4 linked regions of the Caenorhabditis elegans genome follow. The protein of the gene in region 1 purifies or fractionates together with the protein of each later gene. This does not show direct contact. Each region holds a gene or a part of one and is shown in the gene's direction. Other genes may lie near its edges.

Evidence for each region.
Region 2: the proteins of ttr-16 (region 1) and spig-1 fractionate together in Caenorhabditis elegans (co-fractionation; one large-scale study listed by BioGRID). This does not show direct contact.
Region 3: the proteins of ttr-16 (region 1) and C36A4.4 fractionate together in Caenorhabditis elegans (co-fractionation; one large-scale study listed by BioGRID). This does not show direct contact.
Region 4: the proteins of ttr-16 (region 1) and lbp-2 fractionate together in Caenorhabditis elegans (co-fractionation; one large-scale study listed by BioGRID). This does not show direct contact.

The regions. Positions count from the first base shown.
Region 1 is NC_003282.8:11,062,701-11,066,633, reverse strand, and holds ttr-16 (Transthyretin-like protein 16), read left to right. Parts: upstream 1-2,496; 5' UTR 2,497-2,519; coding exon 2,520-2,667; intron 2,668-2,715; coding exon 2,716-2,849; intron 2,850-2,865; exon of another isoform or gene 2,866-2,895; coding exon 2,896-3,012; 3' UTR 3,013-3,104; downstream 3,105-3,933. Other genes in the region: ttr-17 (Transthyretin-like family protein), read left to right, coding at 437-553; Protein lin-3, read right to left, coding at 3,463-3,540.
Region 2 is NC_003283.11:7,050,196-7,053,584, forward strand, and holds spig-1 (DUF4473 domain-containing protein), read left to right. Parts: upstream 1-1,519; 5' UTR 1,520-1,532; coding exon 1,533-1,596; intron 1,597-1,646; coding exon 1,647-1,924; 3' UTR 1,925-1,984; downstream 1,985-3,389. Other genes in the region: tofu-2 (Schlafen-like protein 2), read right to left, coding at 14-81, 128-576, 633-861, 1,030-1,032; txt-17 (transcellular chaperone signaling (x)cross tissue), read right to left, coding at 2,603-2,877, 2,930-3,002.
Region 3 is NC_003281.10:3,840,323-3,846,033, reverse strand, and holds C36A4.4 (putative UDP-N-acetylglucosamine pyrophosphorylase), read left to right. Parts: upstream 1-2,419; 5' UTR 2,420-2,423; coding exon 2,424-2,675; intron 2,676-2,729; coding exon 2,730-3,150; intron 3,151-3,653; coding exon 3,654-4,002; intron 4,003-4,052; coding exon 4,053-4,306; intron 4,307-4,363; coding exon 4,364-4,542; 3' UTR 4,543-4,788; downstream 4,789-5,711. Other genes in the region: maph-1.3 (Microtubule-associated protein futsch), read right to left, coding at 1-873, 920-1,141; C36A4.11 (uncharacterized protein), read right to left, coding at 4,884-4,891, 4,950-5,148.
Region 4 is NC_003284.9:3,258,381-3,262,634, forward strand, and holds lbp-2 (Fatty acid-binding protein homolog 2), read left to right. Parts: upstream 1-2,229; 5' UTR 2,230-2,421; coding exon 2,422-2,739; intron 2,740-2,795; coding exon 2,796-2,909; intron 2,910-2,955; coding exon 2,956-3,009; 3' UTR 3,010-3,090; downstream 3,091-4,254. Other genes in the region: lbp-1 (Fatty acid-binding protein homolog 1), read left to right, coding at 778-1,089, 1,148-1,261, 1,320-1,373. UniProt on the Caenorhabditis elegans protein: May play a role in sequestering potentially toxic fatty acids and their peroxidation products, or it may be involved in the maintenance of the impermeable lipid layer of the eggshell.

The DNA.
Region 1 (3,933 bases):
GGTAATAAGGAAAATGGCAATTTGAAAAAGTTTGATATTTTCTTGAATTATTATACATTATTATAAATTATCATGAATAATACATTGATGAGAAGCAGATTATAAAGGTGCATATATAGATACAAATTAACCTTGTGAATTGAAAATATCTAGTACAATATGACACTTAAATAACCCTCCCAAGTAGGCAAATATCTCTTCCTGACTGAAAGCCAATTTACGCTCTCCTGATGATAAATTGAAACTTTTGGTAAATTTATTGCAAATCAGAAATACGCAAATCTACACAGTGCAAATACTGAGCGTGGTTTGAAATGCAAAATATAGGCGGTAGGTATTTAGGCACGTAAACATGCACACCTACTTAGCAATAGCTACTTCGAATATAAATTTGAAAAACTTAATTGAAGAAATTTAAAAAATGTTATGTTTCCAGGGATGTGAACGCGTTTCCGAATATCAAATTCCACAAGAAAAAATCGGAGAGGTCTATGACATGACTTATGTTACCCTTGATATTATTGTTCATGGAGAGAAGACCATCTGCAACTAATTATGATTTTTTTGTTTCAACTCATATAATTGTATGTACATAAATTCGTATTTTACCCTAAAACGTTTTGAACTATTTCTGGTTTTTGTTTTTAATTGATTCGGAGTACAACCCCCTGCCAACTGACGAAAGAGAAACTTCGGGATTCCGGAATGATTGGGCAGTGGAGTGGAGTGGAAAAAATATGTTCAGGAAGGTTGAAAAATACGTCGAGAGAAGGTTACGTAAGAAGTCAAAAGAAAGAAACAATTGAAGAGTGACAAATAGAACGAGGACAAAAAAATAATTTTCTTGTCGAAAAGAAGTATAACTTTTAAATTTGGTCTATTTTGATACCTTCCACAGAAAGAGTAAATTCAGAAAATAAATATATATAATAAAAGTTAAAAATTTCCAGAATCGTTTTGTGTGACATCGGCAACTACCGCAGCTTTCCAGATTTCAAGTTTTTCTGAAGATTCTAGTTACGCAGATCTGACATTTTAAAATTGTTGTTCTTTCAGCATTGGAATAAAAAATGCTCAACTTATAAAAGGTAAACCTATACAGTTAGAAAATGATATAGTGCTGGCTGCACACCAAGCTGTAACACGATCGTGTATATGTTCTTCTGGATATCTGACTTGTTTTTCGTTGATGTTTCAATTTTTGTGAATCATCGTTCTTTGTTACTCGAAGTCCGGGAAATCTGGGCATTGCAGTAGAAAGTGGAAAAAATACTATATTAAAAAACATAGGTCAGTACTTAATTGAACCCCTCGAGAAATAAAACAAAATTCATTAAAAATAAGTTTGAACTGTTTATGAATTTATATATAATTTAAAACCTCATTTTAATGTTCAGAAAGCTGAATTAGAACTTCGAAACTATGAAATCATGAAACAGTGCTAAACGAAGAAACCCTCCAGTTTTTGTTGTGATGTTTAAAATTTTATATATTGTCTGACGCATTCACATTTCAAACATAAAATTCTGAGATTCAATTAGAGGGATCAATCACCAACTGGCAATAACATCAGAGACTGATCTCAAACTTTAGTGTTCGAAGGATTATCAGAAACTCAAATTGCTCTTTGTGAACATTGATTTCAATATCGATTATGTTTTTGAAAATTGTTTTGCATGCATCTAATCTTGTAAACATATCAATAATCAAGTGTACAAAATGATCATTACAGCTTTGTTTGTTTGTTTGAAAGACTGGAAGCGGATATCACTACATCCCACGTAACATCACAAAAACTATTAGCCTGAAAACGAAAAAAAATTCCAGTTGAAATATAGAAATCAATCCAATCTGAATGTATTGTCAATAATAAATATTGTGAATCAAACGGAAACGTAATATAAAAGGTACAGCGTGAGCCTGTAATATGACAGCTGAAACTGTACCGATTTTCGATAAGGTATTTCGCAGACGCACGCCTCCCCTCCTATAGCCCGGAAAACGCCTCCGATAAATATGATTTTAGATAAAATTAGAAAAAAAATTAGGGTTAACATGTAGGCGCCAAACGCATGCCTGACATTAAGGCGACGGGCCTCCCTCACGCCTCAACTCGCGCTTTCTGCCAAAATGCAGAAAACCCTGATACCACACCCTTCTCCCATGGAACTCCTATGTGGATCTGATTATCAGAAAAGAAAACTTCCGTATGTGCACAAGATATTCTGAATCCAATTCCTCCCCCGTATAAAAAATGAGTCATAATTATATTTTGAAATCTTGATTTTGTTTTTCAAGCTTGCCAACCCATTATCTAATCCCTGATTACTTGTTGTTGTTTCTGATTCAAGTTCTCATGTTGTCTCATGGCTGGCTGTTGGACACGCCAATTGGCTCTCGTTTCTTTGATTCTATTGGTTGATTGAAGGGGGGACAACACCTGACGTTAATCTCCAAATCTCAATATAAATAGTGAGCCCCAACACGACGCCAGTCACCTCAACAACTTATTGTTGAAAATGCGCTCGCTCGTCGTGTGTCTCTTGCTCGCCGCTTGTGCTCTTGAATGCACAGCCCGTCTTCAGAATGTTACTGTTAAGGGAGTTGCCGTGTGCAATAAGAAGAGATTGGCAAATGTTGAAGTTCAACTCTATGAGAAGGACACCCGTAAGTTCATTGATAGAACTTTTCTATAAATGTATTTGTATTTTTCAGTTGACCCAGATGATCTTTTGGACACCAAGAAAACTGATGCTGAAGGAGAATTCAGCGTTTACGGAGAAGAAGATGAGACTCATGCTATTGCCCCATACCTTTTGATTACCCATAGCTGCAACCCATCTAAGCCAGTAAGTCAAAATAAATAATGGAATATATTTATTAAAATAATTCCAGAACTGTGTCCGCATCGGAAGGTACTTGGTGCCAGAGGACAAGATCGGAGGAACCTACGACATGACCTACGTCACCCTCGACATCAAGGTTCACGGAGAGAAGGAAAAATGCCAGTAAAAAGTGCAAACTTCCTGGATTTTATTGACTATCTAAATATATATTTTTTCTATATGATTTTTCTCAATTTTCCATTAATAAAAACATGAAATAAATGTTTAGTTTTTTCAACGAGGACCTGAAGAGACTAGGGATCAAAGGAAATTACAAAAACGATGCAAATATTGTACCCGTTGGAAATCGAGGAGTTGAACTGGCAAAATTATACAAATTGTCACAGGAACTGAGAGGGAGAGTGAGAGAACTATAGAACATTTGGGTGGGATATAATAGGGTGCCAAATGCAATCTATAAAACATGTAGAACGATATGAAAATAGAGGAAAAAAGAGAAAGCGAAAAAATTTGAAGAGACCAGAGATGTTTGAGCAGTGGTAAATCACAATTATAGCACAGAGAAGTTGATGAAAAAAGAAAAAGATAAGACAAAATAAGGAAACAAATTATAATTTCATGTGTGTCGAATCATTGGTTCACATGTTGCTGGTGATCCTTGTTCTCCAGAACTTCGAGACGGGGATCGAAAATTCTGAAACTTTCAAATGAGTAATCATTTTATTATTCAGAGGTTAGATTTTGCGATTTTTGCACAAATAATACGATACCAGGTTGAACTGCGTCTTTTAAGATTACTGTAATCATTTTCCAAAAAATAAACAAATGGATGTAACCCGAAAAATGTATTGTATTATAATCAATGAAAATTTCGTAGCAACGAGGGGTTGCAAAAGACAGTAATCTTTAAAGGCGCAATTCCGCTTGCAGTTAAAGGCGGAGTACAGTCATTTTTAAAAATGTGATCTAAATGAAAAAGGACCGTAATAAACAGATATAACTGCTAAAAAAGTAATGAAAAAACATTTGAGGGATAATTATTTTTGAATTTGCGACTAACCTGGATTCGACATTTTCACTTTTATGA
Region 2 (3,389 bases), on another chromosome or scaffold:
GAAACACCCATACTTGCTGATCGGCTGAAGAGTTCTTCGAATAGATCCATCCTTGTCCTGCTTGCATTGAGTCCTCTTTAGCTGTAAATTGAAAATTCAAAAACCTTTATTTTCCACTTTAAATTACTTCAGTGAGCATCAGTTTGGTATGCATTCTGAACTCATTATGAACATCTTCTTCTACTGCAAACGGTAGTTTCACCACTACATGTTCGAATGAGTTTTGCTCCTCATAGCTCCACCAATTCACATTTTCATTTGGAGCATCGGAAACCGCAGTAAACTGATTTCCCGGGGGAAATTTGAACGGTTGAGATCCAAAGTTGACTGAGAGGCTTGAGTTTTGACATAAGACCGCCGGGAAGAGACACGTGTTCGAGTTTTTGTATTTCACATCGATGGAAAAAGCGGCGGGAAATTGTTCTCCATTTTTTGACCACCAGATGGTACGGGAATCCAGGTCAAGATAGCAACCGATCACATCGTTCAGAGTGAATGGGAGACCATAATCATCGAACTTTTTGTGGGTTGACTTCATTCCAGTCCCACCATAACCGAAACTATCCAGTCCTTTACCTGGAACATTTTAATTGGAATAAAGAATAATTTTGCACAATGCAAAAAAGTATTACCAATATTCAAACTTCCACCGAGAGTAGCCCAGCCAACTCTGCACAGTCCTTTACTTGTAATTGTAACTTCATAGTAATACTTTCCATTTCCATATAATCCGGCTGTTCCACGTGCTCCGAGCCATCTTTTCTTCACTTCACTTTTGCAGGCTAATCCAGTTTCATCAATTTCGAGATGAAGATCTTGATCCTGCTTGTTCAGTTTGGATTCACGTGGACTTGTGTCGGCCTGAAAAATAATATGTAGCATTAAACAGCACACCGGAATTTTTTGTTGAATATATTTATTTTAACTAATAGTGAGATTTAAAAATGCTAAAATTAGCGGAATATTAGAAGAGAAACTTTTAAAAAACTATAAATTTATTTTCTGATTCTAAAAATATTTAAAACTTACCATTTTTCAATGACCAGGCACGGAAGAGTTGAAATTTTAATTACGAAAATTAAAAAAAAATTATCTCGCGAAAAATGCACAACGATGCTCCATCGTTACGCGGCGCGTGTTGTTTAGCCGATAGAAAATGGAGGGAATTTCAAATAAATTTTTTGATGAAAAAATTATTTTCATACCACAAAAAATATTAAAACATCAGATTTAACAGAAAGTTCAGTTACACATTTTTTGAAAAGTTCGAAACTGAAATCGTTTGATCCTCCGCAATTGATGCGAATGTCTATGAATTGAACTGTTGGGCAACAAATCATAAACTGAAAAAACCATGTTGTAGTGAGAGTGTGTGTAGTCCAATTCAATATTCAAACCGGATTTTAGAACCAATCGTTTTTGTGTCAAATGTGCCTTGCCACTAATCACCACTACGTGTCGTCACAATTCGATTCGTATAAATAGTCGACAGGTTGTAGTAATTTCAATTCAATTCACTTCCAACTTTCAAAATGTGCAAACTTTTCGTCGCCGTTGCCCTTCTCGCTGTCGTTTATGCTCATCAAATGCCATCAGGTAGAAGTTTTTCATTTCAACGTTCTTCTTAAAACCCTTATAATTTTAAGCTGATGAGATGAAGGCCAAGCTCGTTGAGGGTGGAGTCTCCGAGGCTGCTGCCGCTGGACTCGTTGAAATCGGAGATAAGTACAAGAGCCAATTCCAGGCTCTCACCAAGGGAGATCATGAAGCTGGAAAGAAAGTTTTCGATAGCATGAAGTCCGAGTCTGATGCCTACATCGCCACCCAATCTGAAGCTGATCAGACCGCTTACAAAGCATTCGTTGAGAAGGCCAAGGAGCACTTCCAAGCTCACAAGGAAGCTGCTGCTGCCGAAAGTGCTTAAATATCAATTTTTTTGAATATGGAACCATTTTTTATTTGAAAATAAAACTTTAATTTCGCGAATCATTCCATATGTGCTTCATCCAGACATAAGACTACAGTAACGGGTGAAATATCGAGAACAACCCAATCTTTTTCCCTTGTTTTAAAAACCTACCTACCTACCTATCTACCTACCTACTTACTCTATCTATCTATGTAAACGTATTAAATAATAATAATAGTAATAATAATGATACTAAGCTATTCCATGTTCCTAATTTTGCTAATAGCTCAGACTTAAAACGATAAATAGCTGGAATAATAGTTACAGAAGCGAAAATAATATCAAGTTTCAACCTGGTATTTATTAACACAGGGTGGGCGTCATTGCAGGCACCAACAGGTCTACAAGTTACCTTCAGGTCAATAATAACTGGACTTGAAATAGATGTATCATTACCGTGTTATGCTCCGGCCCGAATAAACGTTTTTTCACGGTTTGTCAAAATGTACTTCTCCTTCGCGGCGATCAGGGTTTGTCTTTTAGGCATGTAGGTAGGCATGCTTTTCTTATGGCAGGTTCTAATTTTTACAAGAGACTTGTCAACATTTCAAACAGAAAATTCGATTCATTCAATACAAAAAGTCAAGGGAAAATGTATATATGTGCATTTCGAGCAACAACATCAGAAAATATTTAGTGAGCTGGAGTAGAGTGGTGTCCCTCGAATTCCTTCTTCTTAGACTCGATATAGGTGGCATAAGCTTTCTGATCAGCTTCTGGTTGAGTCTTGATGTAGGCATCCGTGTCAGTCTTGATCTCCTCGAAAACCTTCTTTATTGCTTCCTTATCGTCCTTGTTATCCTTGAGAGCTTCGAGTTGAGTCTTGTACTTCTCGGCAACCTCGACGATTCCTGCGGCAGAAGTCTCCGAGAGCCCAGCGGCGACAAGTTGAGCTTTCACCTCCTCGGCTGAAAATCAGATTCAGAGTTTTTCAAAGTTCAAAATATAAAAATTTCCTACCACTTGGTGGTACTGGTGGAGCAGCATAGATGGCAACAGCGAGAAGTGCAACGGCGACGAAGAGTTTGCACATTTTCTGAACAAATATTAATTTTTTATTTTGATGAGATACAGAAAGAAGATGCTTGCGAAAAGAACATATGAAACCAAACTTAAAAAATGATGATGTTATTTTCAGAGCTATCAGCACGGTTTTTATACATCCAAATTGAGATCGGTTCTAGGCGGAGACACATAACTGGTTTGTAATTTGTTACGCTTTCGAATTGAAAAAATATCCGTGCCTGTGGTTCTCTACGGCAATTATCTAGAGGGGAATAGTTCGAAAACAGGGAAAACGGTTAGATATTTTGATGTCTATCGGGTTATGGCACAACGTTTATCTCGAAGTGTTTTCGGAAAGTGTGAATCACGAGAATGACGTTTTATAGTATTCAATCAACATGAAAATTTTAATAAT
Region 3 (5,711 bases), on another chromosome or scaffold:
TGGAGCTGTAGCTTTTGGAGCTGAGACCGCCGAAGCAGGCTTCGATGGAGCGGCTCTTTGAACTTTCCCAGCGACTTTCTTCTGAGCGATAGCCTCGGCCTTGGCTGCCTTCGCAGGGGCTCCTCTTGGTGGCGCTGGTGCAGATTTCGCTGGAATTGGAGCTCTAATCGGAGCCTTCGATGCTGAAGCGGCCTTCGGTGGTGCAGTTGCTCTCGGTGGAACGGCTGTTCTGGTAGCAGGAGCTGCACTTCGTGTAGTCGTCGGACAAGCTGGGCCTGTTGGAGCACGAGAAGTCAACGCTCTGGGGGCACTGACTGCAGGGATTGCTGGACGAGTTCTTGCGGCGCCGGTTGTAGATGCAGATCTAGTAGATGGTTTTCCGGCAACAGGTCGTGGAACGGCAGGAGCAGGAATATCCAACAACGCATCCTTCGACTTCACGGTGGGCGCGTTGAGGAATGGAAGTGATTTCGCTGCCTTGTCGAGCGATTGTTGGATCCTCGCAAGTGAGCTCGTCCCCGAAATAAGCACTCTGACCGCCGATTGATCCGTCATCGCAGGCCTCCAGAGCAGGACGGCGATGGTTCCATTCTCAGCGGCCGCCTTCTCCACTTCTGCCTCGTTTCCTCCTGCCAACGCCTTTGTGATCACTTCGGAGTCTTTGACGTCTCCAGCCAGAATATACATGGAGAGAACTCCTTTTGCAGCTGACTGGTATATGATGTGTGCCGGATATTTCGGGCTGAACAGTGGCGGTGCAACGGAGAGAAGCTTCGAGTTCGCTTCTTGAATTGCTTTGGCAATCTCTCCACTGCTTCCCGGCTTGGCAGTCTTGAACGGCTTCGTGTTGGTGAACACCGGCAACGGTTTTCCCTGAAAAAAGTAGATTATCAAAATTTTCATTAAAGTTTCTACAAACCTGTTCCAACAGAGCAGACGTGGTTCCGAGGTTACCAAGCGTCGGCGCGGCGAGCAGCACGGCAGAGACGTCCCTGACGTGAGCCACGAATCCTGGGCTTTTTTCGGCGAATCCCCCATCGAGAATGTAGACGCCGTCAAAATCAAACAAGGTGGCTGTGTTGGCCGCACCGCCCAAGACGTAGACGCATGCCTTCGACGACATGATGTATTCTTCCGGCATCTGGAAAGAAGGAGTAATTTTCAACAGTTTTAAGCACGTATACGTAGAAAATGAAAGAGAACGCTGAAAGATTGAATTATGGCGAATTTTATGCCAAAATAATTACAAAAACCCTAATTTCGGAGTTTTTCGCGCTTTTCTGTAGACTTAAGTTCATTTTTCAACCATATTAGCGACTAAAAATGTTCAAAAACTAATCAAAAATGTGAAATAAACGACAAAATTATAGGGAAAATGCAAAAGCTTCTTGGCTGCTGACAAAATTGCAGATTTTTTAGGATTTACAAAAAAAAGGTTTCAGTGGGCGGTGCCAATTCGCAACCACCGCACGCTCATTTCGCAAGCCTCGCACGTTTTTTCAGTGATCTTTTTAAATACCTTTTTTAAAGAAAAACGCGCGAGAATAAACAAATAAACAAATAAACAAAAACGAGACAGAAAAACACGAATGAGCTCTCTCGCCGCCTTATATAGCGCGGTGAGAGACGCAGAGAATGCAGGGAAATCAGAATACGACCGCTGCCGCCGTGGATCAAGATCACTAGTGATATCAGTCTCCTCTTTGTTTGATCTACCAGTAGAAGTGCAGAGCGCCTGCGATGGGTGGATTTTTTTCATTTTCAACTTTTTCAATGTCGCTGAATCAATACGTCATTTCTATTGGAAGCTAGTCTTTTTGGTTATTTTTTAGATTAAGTTTGAGTCTTGCGGTGCTCGAAAAACTCAAAATCTTTTTAAATCCACTGGTATATATATATTGGGAGAATTGAACTCTGTGCATTTTTCCGTCACTGTGTTCGCGTACTTTTAAGTTTTTATGGCGGCAGCGGCGCCATGTTCAGATGTTTTTTTATATGTTTTGTGATCTTTTCATCATTTTCTTGAAGAATTTGCAGATTTTTTTTCATTTTCAGTGAATTTTTCTTAATAAAAACTTTTTTTTTCCATTTAGATTGGATTTCTCCGCATTTTCTTCGGCGAAACAAGAGATTCTCTGTTTTTATTGCATTCTAAAAACGTTAAGCCAACAATCAATATTTTGTCGTGTTTCTTGTTTTCCATCTCCTTGTTTTTAGAGTTTTAAAGTAGGAAACGTGTTAAATAAGTGCAGTTTTTTGTGTCTATCTATTTTCCAAATGAACATTTCTGTAATTAGAGAGAAGCTGCCACACACAGCGTTATGAATAATTATTTTCTTATCTTTGCGCCGTGTATTATCACTTTTTGAATTGTTTTCCACCGGAGAATCGTTTATTTAATTTTGATCATTATTTTCAGTACGATGACCATCACTGCTCCACCAAAAGACGAGATTATCTCAAAGTTTCCGGGCTCTGAGCCACTTCTCAACTTTTACAATGAGCTCTCGGATGCCGAAAAATCGAAGCTTTTCCACCAAATTTCAACTCTAAACCTTTCGGAAGCTCATCAATGGTTCATTGATTCAGCGGATCAACGGGCTCCATCAACTGCGGAAGACCTTAAGCCGGTTCTTGATTCTCAGCATTTTGTACAAGCTGAATTGCATCAAGTGGTAGAGACTTTTAATATTTAGGTAAAACCATCATTAAAATTACATTATTTTCAGATCCTCGATGGTCTCTGGAACAAGGGAATGGATGCTATTGGACGTGGAGAAGTATGTGCAATTGTGCTCGCCGGTGGACAAGCTACACGTCTTGGATCAAGTCAACCGAAAGGAACGATTCCATTGGGAATTAACGCTTCATTTGGAGATTCTCTTTTGGGAATTCAAGCTGCCAAAATTGCACTTCTTCAGGCTCTCGCTGGAGAACGGGAGCATCAGAATCCGGGAAAAATTCACTGGGCAGTTATGACGTCACCTGGAACAGAGGAGGCTACTCGTGAGCATGTGAAGAAACTGGCGGCTCATCATGGATTCGATTTCGATGAACAAATTACTATTTTCTCACAAGATGAAATTGCTGCATACGATGAGCAGGGAAACTTCCTTCTCGGAACTAAAGGATCTGTTGTTGCTGCTCCAAGTATGAGTTTTTACGCAATTCGTGTACTCCTCGAGGAAAACTGTTTTTACGAATTTTTCAGCTATAATTCTGACTTTTTGATTATTTTTTAATCTTCAAAACGAAAAATTATATGACATTTAAAGTATTTTCGGTGTCAATATTGAAAGCAGTATTAATTGCATGGATTTTCACCCAAAACACACTAAAAATATAAATTAGTTGACGATTTGAATTTAAAAAATATCTAAAATTAAGTATTTTATCCGAATACTTAAAAATTTCGTACAAAAAAATAATTATTCTTTCTCGGGGAGTACACCAGCTGCGTAAATCGACACAAAAATTTTAAAAAATGAGTTTTTCAACGAAAAAAAAATCGAATTTTCAATATTTTAAAGATAATGTGTTCTCATCAAACTCAACTTTTTTTAGAACATAAAATCTAGACTTTTTTCTGGATTTCAAAAAAAGAAAATTATCGATTTTCTCACAAAAAACCGAAAAATCATATTTTTTTTCAGACGGCAACGGAGGTCTCTACTCTGCCATCTCTGCTCATTTGCCACGTCTTCGCGCGAAAGGAATCAAATATTTCCATGTGTATTGTGTGGACAACATTCTGTGCAAAGTTGCCGACCCTCATTTCATCGGATTCGCCATTTCAAACGAAGCTGACGTTGCAACCAAGTGTGTTCCGAAGCAAAAAGGAGAACTCGTCGGATCAGTTTGTCTTGATAGAGGACTACCACGTGTCGTTGAATATTCGGAGCTTGGAGCCGAGTTGGCTGAACAAAAGACACCGGATGGAAAATATTTGTTTGGTGCAGGATCTATTGCAAATCACTTTTTCACGATGGATTTCATGGATAGGTTTGTAATTTCAAATTTGGAGAAAAAGCTTAATTTTAAAATAAATACAGAGTCTGCTCTCCATCATCTCGTCTTCCATATCATCGTGCTCACAAGAAGATTTCCTATGTGAATGAGCAGGGAACCATTGTCAAACCGGAAAAACCAAATGGTATCAAGCTGGAGCAGTTTATTTTCGACGTCTTCGAGCTCTCGAAGCGATTTTTCATTTGGGAGGTGGCGAGGAACGAAGAGTTTTCTCCATTGAAAAATGCTCAATCTGTTGGAACTGATTGTTTGAGCACTTGTCAGAGAGATTTGTCCAGTGAGTAGATTTTTCTGTGAATTCAGAATTAAAATTGATTTAAAAACTGATTTTCAGATGTGAACAAGTTGTGGCTGGAACGTGTTCAAGCGAAAGTGACTGCAACTGAAAAGCCGATCTACTTGAAGACAATTGTCTCCTACAACGGAGAGAATCTTCAAGAACTCCGTCATCGTGAAATTTCTGATAGTGCCTTGGAATCCGATCATTCGATTAACAAATTCTTTGTTGTCTAGTCTTCTTTTGTTTCATATTTATACTGATTGCCCTACTCATTCCCCTATCATTTCCCAGCCAACTGTGTTTTATTTATGTTAAAATCCCCGTGATGCTTTCAAATTTCCTTCGGTATTTTCCCCAAAAACCGTAGTTATTAGGCCGATATTATTGCTTGACATCCATTTGTTTTAAATTTCTTAAATTTTCGTAAACTGAAACGAGTTCGAATACAGATTTTGTAAATACTAAAAATGTTAGAATGAGTTGGTACAATTTTATAAATTTAAAAATGACAATTTATTAAAAAAAAAAGTTATCCTTGGAAATGTGCCTTCTGTTGGGAGGATGTATTTAGTCATTAATTTCCTGAAAAGAGCAATAATTTAAACAAGCAAATAACAAAAATTAAAAAAAAAAAACTTACCTAATAGGCCTGCCACGCGGGACTTGTTAGCACCGGATCCAATTCGAAGGCAATCTTCCTCTTCTTGTGCATCTGAGCCACCGTGGCTGTCGAAGATGTCGCAGTAGAAGCTGCTATCCGAACATTCTCCAGACTCTGTAGATCCACCGAAACCACTTTGGATGATGGCTTCTCTGTCGTTCTTCGCCTTTGTTCCCATTTAAGCTCACGCTCTAATATCTCGAATTTCTCCTTCAAAGTCCACTCGGGAGCATCAAAGGGACTTAGCACCGGTTTCCAAAAGTTTCCTGATTCGAATAGAAGAAGAATATTCAAAAACTATTCAGTAGTAATTAAATATAAATAATTAATAAAATCAAAGTGAGAGAGCCTGTACACAAAAGCTCGATGAAAAGTATGAATGAATAATTGTGGGGTACGGAGGACAGTGTTAAACTAGAGATTAGAGACACAGACTGTTTTATATAAACAAAAAAGTATTGGTCACATTGTTACATTGTTTGAAAGAACATTTGAACGAGATTCTGAGCGTTTTTAAATTTTTGCAGCTAAAAATACGGTACCCGGTTTCGACGCGACAATCATTTGTTAAATGCTAAAAGATGTGCGCCTTTAAGGAGTACTGTACTATCAAACTTTTGTTTTTGCTGGATGTTCATCGTCTTTTAATACTTTTCCGATAAAAGTATATTTATTTAAATTAAAACATTCCAATAACCCTTTAAACAACCTTGCAAAATCGATGAAAATTGCCCAGAAACG
Region 4 (4,254 bases), on another chromosome or scaffold:
GCTCAAACATTTGAAAACCAGAAAAAAAAACAATTTTGTGTCTTAAAAATTTTAGCTAGTGTTGAAAGTTTAAAAATATTTTTGAAAAATTGTGTTTTATGGGATCCTTACAATATTTTTTCGTTTTCATTTTGAAACCAAAAAAACCCAAAACCGAATGTACCGAAATTCTGCGGCAAAAAAACTTTTTTTCTGAAGTCGTTTTCTTTTTCTGTGGGTCGAATTCTATATGAATAAAAATTTTCATAATTTTTTCCGGTAGTTTTTTTTGGTTTTCCAAAGTCCCAGCCCTGCATGGATTGTGTTTTGAACTGCAGACCTGAAGACCTGTTGCCGTATTCAATGTTTGCTGAAGAAATGGAGAATCATACTATAGACTATGAAAGATAATGATAACATAAAATTATATCAACCAAATAAGGAAATTGCAATTCGATTCGCCTTAAACCTTCAACGAAATTATTTTGAGTTGATTGTTCGGTCTTCCAGGACCCGATTCATGCAACTACTCTCTTCAAAAATATCCGAACTGACCCCAACACACGGAACAAAAAAAATCTGCCCCGAATCATTTATGCTACACTCTCTTTCGATACCCATCCGAGTCCAGCCGTCCATCTCTGCTAATCGTCAGCGCAATCGACATGTGGGCTGCACTTCTTGCCGTACAATGTTGTTTACGACTGTGCAAGTAGGCGGGGTCCACGCAGACGACGTCGACACACAGCCCACAGTCCTGCCAAGACGTCAGTCGTTCATTCATCGACCTAGCCAACCATGTGCGCTAAAATCGCTCTTCTCCTGGTTCTTGTTGGAGCTGCTTCAGCTGCTGTTCTCCCTGATAAGTTCTATGGAACTTTTGACTTGGACCATTCCGAAAATTTTGATGAGTATCTCACTGCTAAAGGATACGGATGGTTCACTCGTAAACTTGTCACTTTTGCCACATTCAAAAAGGTGTTCACTAAGACTTCCAACAAGAACCTCTTTGACTACTCCAACTTGACATCAAAGAAAGACGTCCATTACAAGAATGTCCAACTTGGAAAAGCCTTCCAGGGAGAAGGACTTGACAGCACCAAACACGAGGTACGCTTTTGCAAGTTTTCAAGTAACCTTTCAAATTGATTAATTAATTAATTTTCAGATCACTTTCACCCTCAAGGACGGACATTTGTTTGAGCATCACAAGCCACTCGAGGGAGGAGACGCCAAGGAAGAGACCTACGAGTACCTTTTCGATAAGGAATTCCTTCTTGTGGTAAGTTATAAACATTTTTTAAAAACCAATTTCACATTCTCATGATTGTAATTTTCAGCGCATGAGTTTCAATGGAGTTGAGGGACGCCGATTCTACAAACGACTCCCATAAATATTCAGAAACTATTGTAATTTTTGTATGAATTGATTTCTCAATGTACTTTTTTTGCCACTGATGTATTTCAAGTTTCAAATAAACTGAAAAGTTAGATCGATTCTGTAATGTGATATGGGGCAAAAAATAAGAAAAATAACGCGGTTCTTTTGTGATTCATGCTGCATAGCCCTCTGAAGTTTTTTGTTTGGGAAATGTTTTCACTGGTTTAAAAATGTACATATTAGGAGTTCTAGAAAGCAAAGTTGATTAAAATTTGAATTTTTGTTAACGTGTAAAAGTGACACAAGTGTTAAAAAGAAAATTTTGCACATTGAAGACTTGAAATTAAGAATCAAATTATCAGATGAATTGAACCTATGCTGGAATCAAAACATGAAAGTTCGATTGCGCCGTGATATTTGCAAAAACGTAATTCAAAACACAAAAAGGACACAACCAGTTTAAAATTTCGGGTGGGTCAAAATCCAATCACTTTTCGGTTTTTTTTTTTCGATGTTGTGTTCGAAAGTTTTCTATAAAATGGAGTTTTTTCTACTCTTTCGTATGCTCTTTTTTATTTTTTTTTTCCTGATTTTCACATTTAATTTCTGAATAAGGTACCATTAAATAAGAACCATTTCTCAAAATACATAGTTTAATAACTAAAATCATTGGATCTTGAGGACCTCATTAAAAATATTTTTTTAAGTCTTAAATTGTTTGATGTGCAGTCAAAAAACGTAGCAGTTTTCTTTTCAATTTTCTTAACGCGTTTAAATTTATTTCGACAAAATTCATTCTGCATTTCAACAAGTAATCGATGAATTGTTTTCGTTCGGTCTCTTAAATTTTGTTTATTATTAGCTTCCAGGTGTTGTGAGGATTTTTGAAAATCAAGTAAGTCCGATCATCAATTTGTTGTTGCCATCCGTGCCGTGACCCTATATTACACACGTGGCTGACCTCAGTTTTATTGTGTTGTCGATTGAGCAACTGGGCGGAGTCTTGATCAATCTTCATTTCTGTGGACACTTCAGTCATTCAGTCATTGACTTGAACAAAAATGTCTTCGAAATTCCTCATCTTACTCGCATTTTGTGGAGCTACCCTTGTGGCTGCCGAACAGCTTCCAGAAAAGTTCTATGGAACCTTCGACTTGGATCACTCTGAAAATTTTGATGAGTACCTCACTGCCAAAGGATACGGATGGTTCACTCGAAAGCTTGTAACCTTTGCGACATTCAAGAAGGTTTTTGCCAAGAATGCTAACAAAAACCTCTTCGACTACTCCAACTTGACATCGAAAAAAGATGTGTTCTACAAAAACGTCCAGATCGGAAGCAAGTTCGAAGGAGAGGGTCTTGATAACACCAAGCACGAGGTGAGTTCCATGCCATGTACTTTTTATTTTATTTTTATTTCAATTATAATTTTCAGGTTACCTTCACTCTCAAGGACGGACACTTGTTCGAACATCACAAGCCACTTGAAGAGGGAGAATCCAAGGAAGAAACCTATGAGTATTACTTTGATGGAGATTTTCTTATTCAGGTAAAATTTGGTCAATCTATTTGACATACATTTTTGTTAATTACAGAAGATGAGCTTCAACAATATCGAAGGCCGCAGATTCTACAAGAGACTCCCATAAAAGTTTAAACTTATTCTATTGAAATTTTCTTAAATTTGCAATTCAATTTCATTTCCGAAAAAAATAAATTTATTTTCAAGCAATCTTCTGATGTTTTCAATTTGGAATCTTGGTGGAATGTATTATCCCAATTATTAGTTTTTAATTTTCTACAGATTAAAAAATGAACATGTTGAGGTAAGAAACTTAACACTAGAGTATGATCTCGCTGCCAAATTCTGCAACAACCATTATTTAAACTACAGTTGTCGTTTTCTTTATGTGATTTCATCTAAACGTTGAGTAGCACCAGTGGGAAATTGGCAAAAAACTACGCCTATGGTGCCAAAAGGACCAAATATCAATAATTTTGGAAAATTGTTCATTTACTGTTGAAAAGTGACTCCGTTATTGCCACTCATAATTTTGAAAGTGGACCAAAAAAATTTTCTACTATTTTTACACATTAATTTTGTTTCAATTATTTATGCAGAGATAAAGATCACTTAGCACCTATATTCTACATGTTCTATCATACAAAAAAAAGTGCCATTAATGTGCTAAAAATGTGCTGAAAATGTGCTAAAAATGTGCTAAAAATGTGCTAAAAATGTGCTAAAAATGTGCTTGAAATGTGCTAAAAATGTGCTAGAAATGTGCTTGAAATGTGCTAAAAATGTGCTAAAAATGTGCTAAAAATGTAATTTTAAAAAAAACTTTCGTACAAGCTATTATACTTGATTGGCATTTTTTGGTATTTTTGACTATGCTAAACAGTTTTCTGAAATAAAAAAGAATGACTCCATATGACTTTCCAGGACTTTTGAATTTTTGAAAAAAACCAGCTTTTATATATTTTTATCATTAAAAAAAAAAAACTTCCGTACAAGCTAATATACTTTGATTAGCATATTCTGGTATTTTTGACTATGCTAAACAGTTTTATGAAATAAAAAAGAATGACTCCATATGATTTTCCCATACTTTTGAATTTTTGAAAAAATCAGCTTTTATATATTTTTATCAATTAAAAAAAAAAACTTCCGTACAAGCTAATATACTTTGATTAGCATATTCTGGTATTTTTGACTATGCTAAACAGTTTTATGAAATAAAAAAGAATGACTCCATATGATTTTCCCATACTTTTGAATTTTTGAAAAAATCAGCTTTTATATATTTTTATCAATTAAAAAAAAAAAACGTCCGTACAAGCTAGTATACATTTTTTGGCACTTGCTACAATAAATACATTTTTTAAAAATT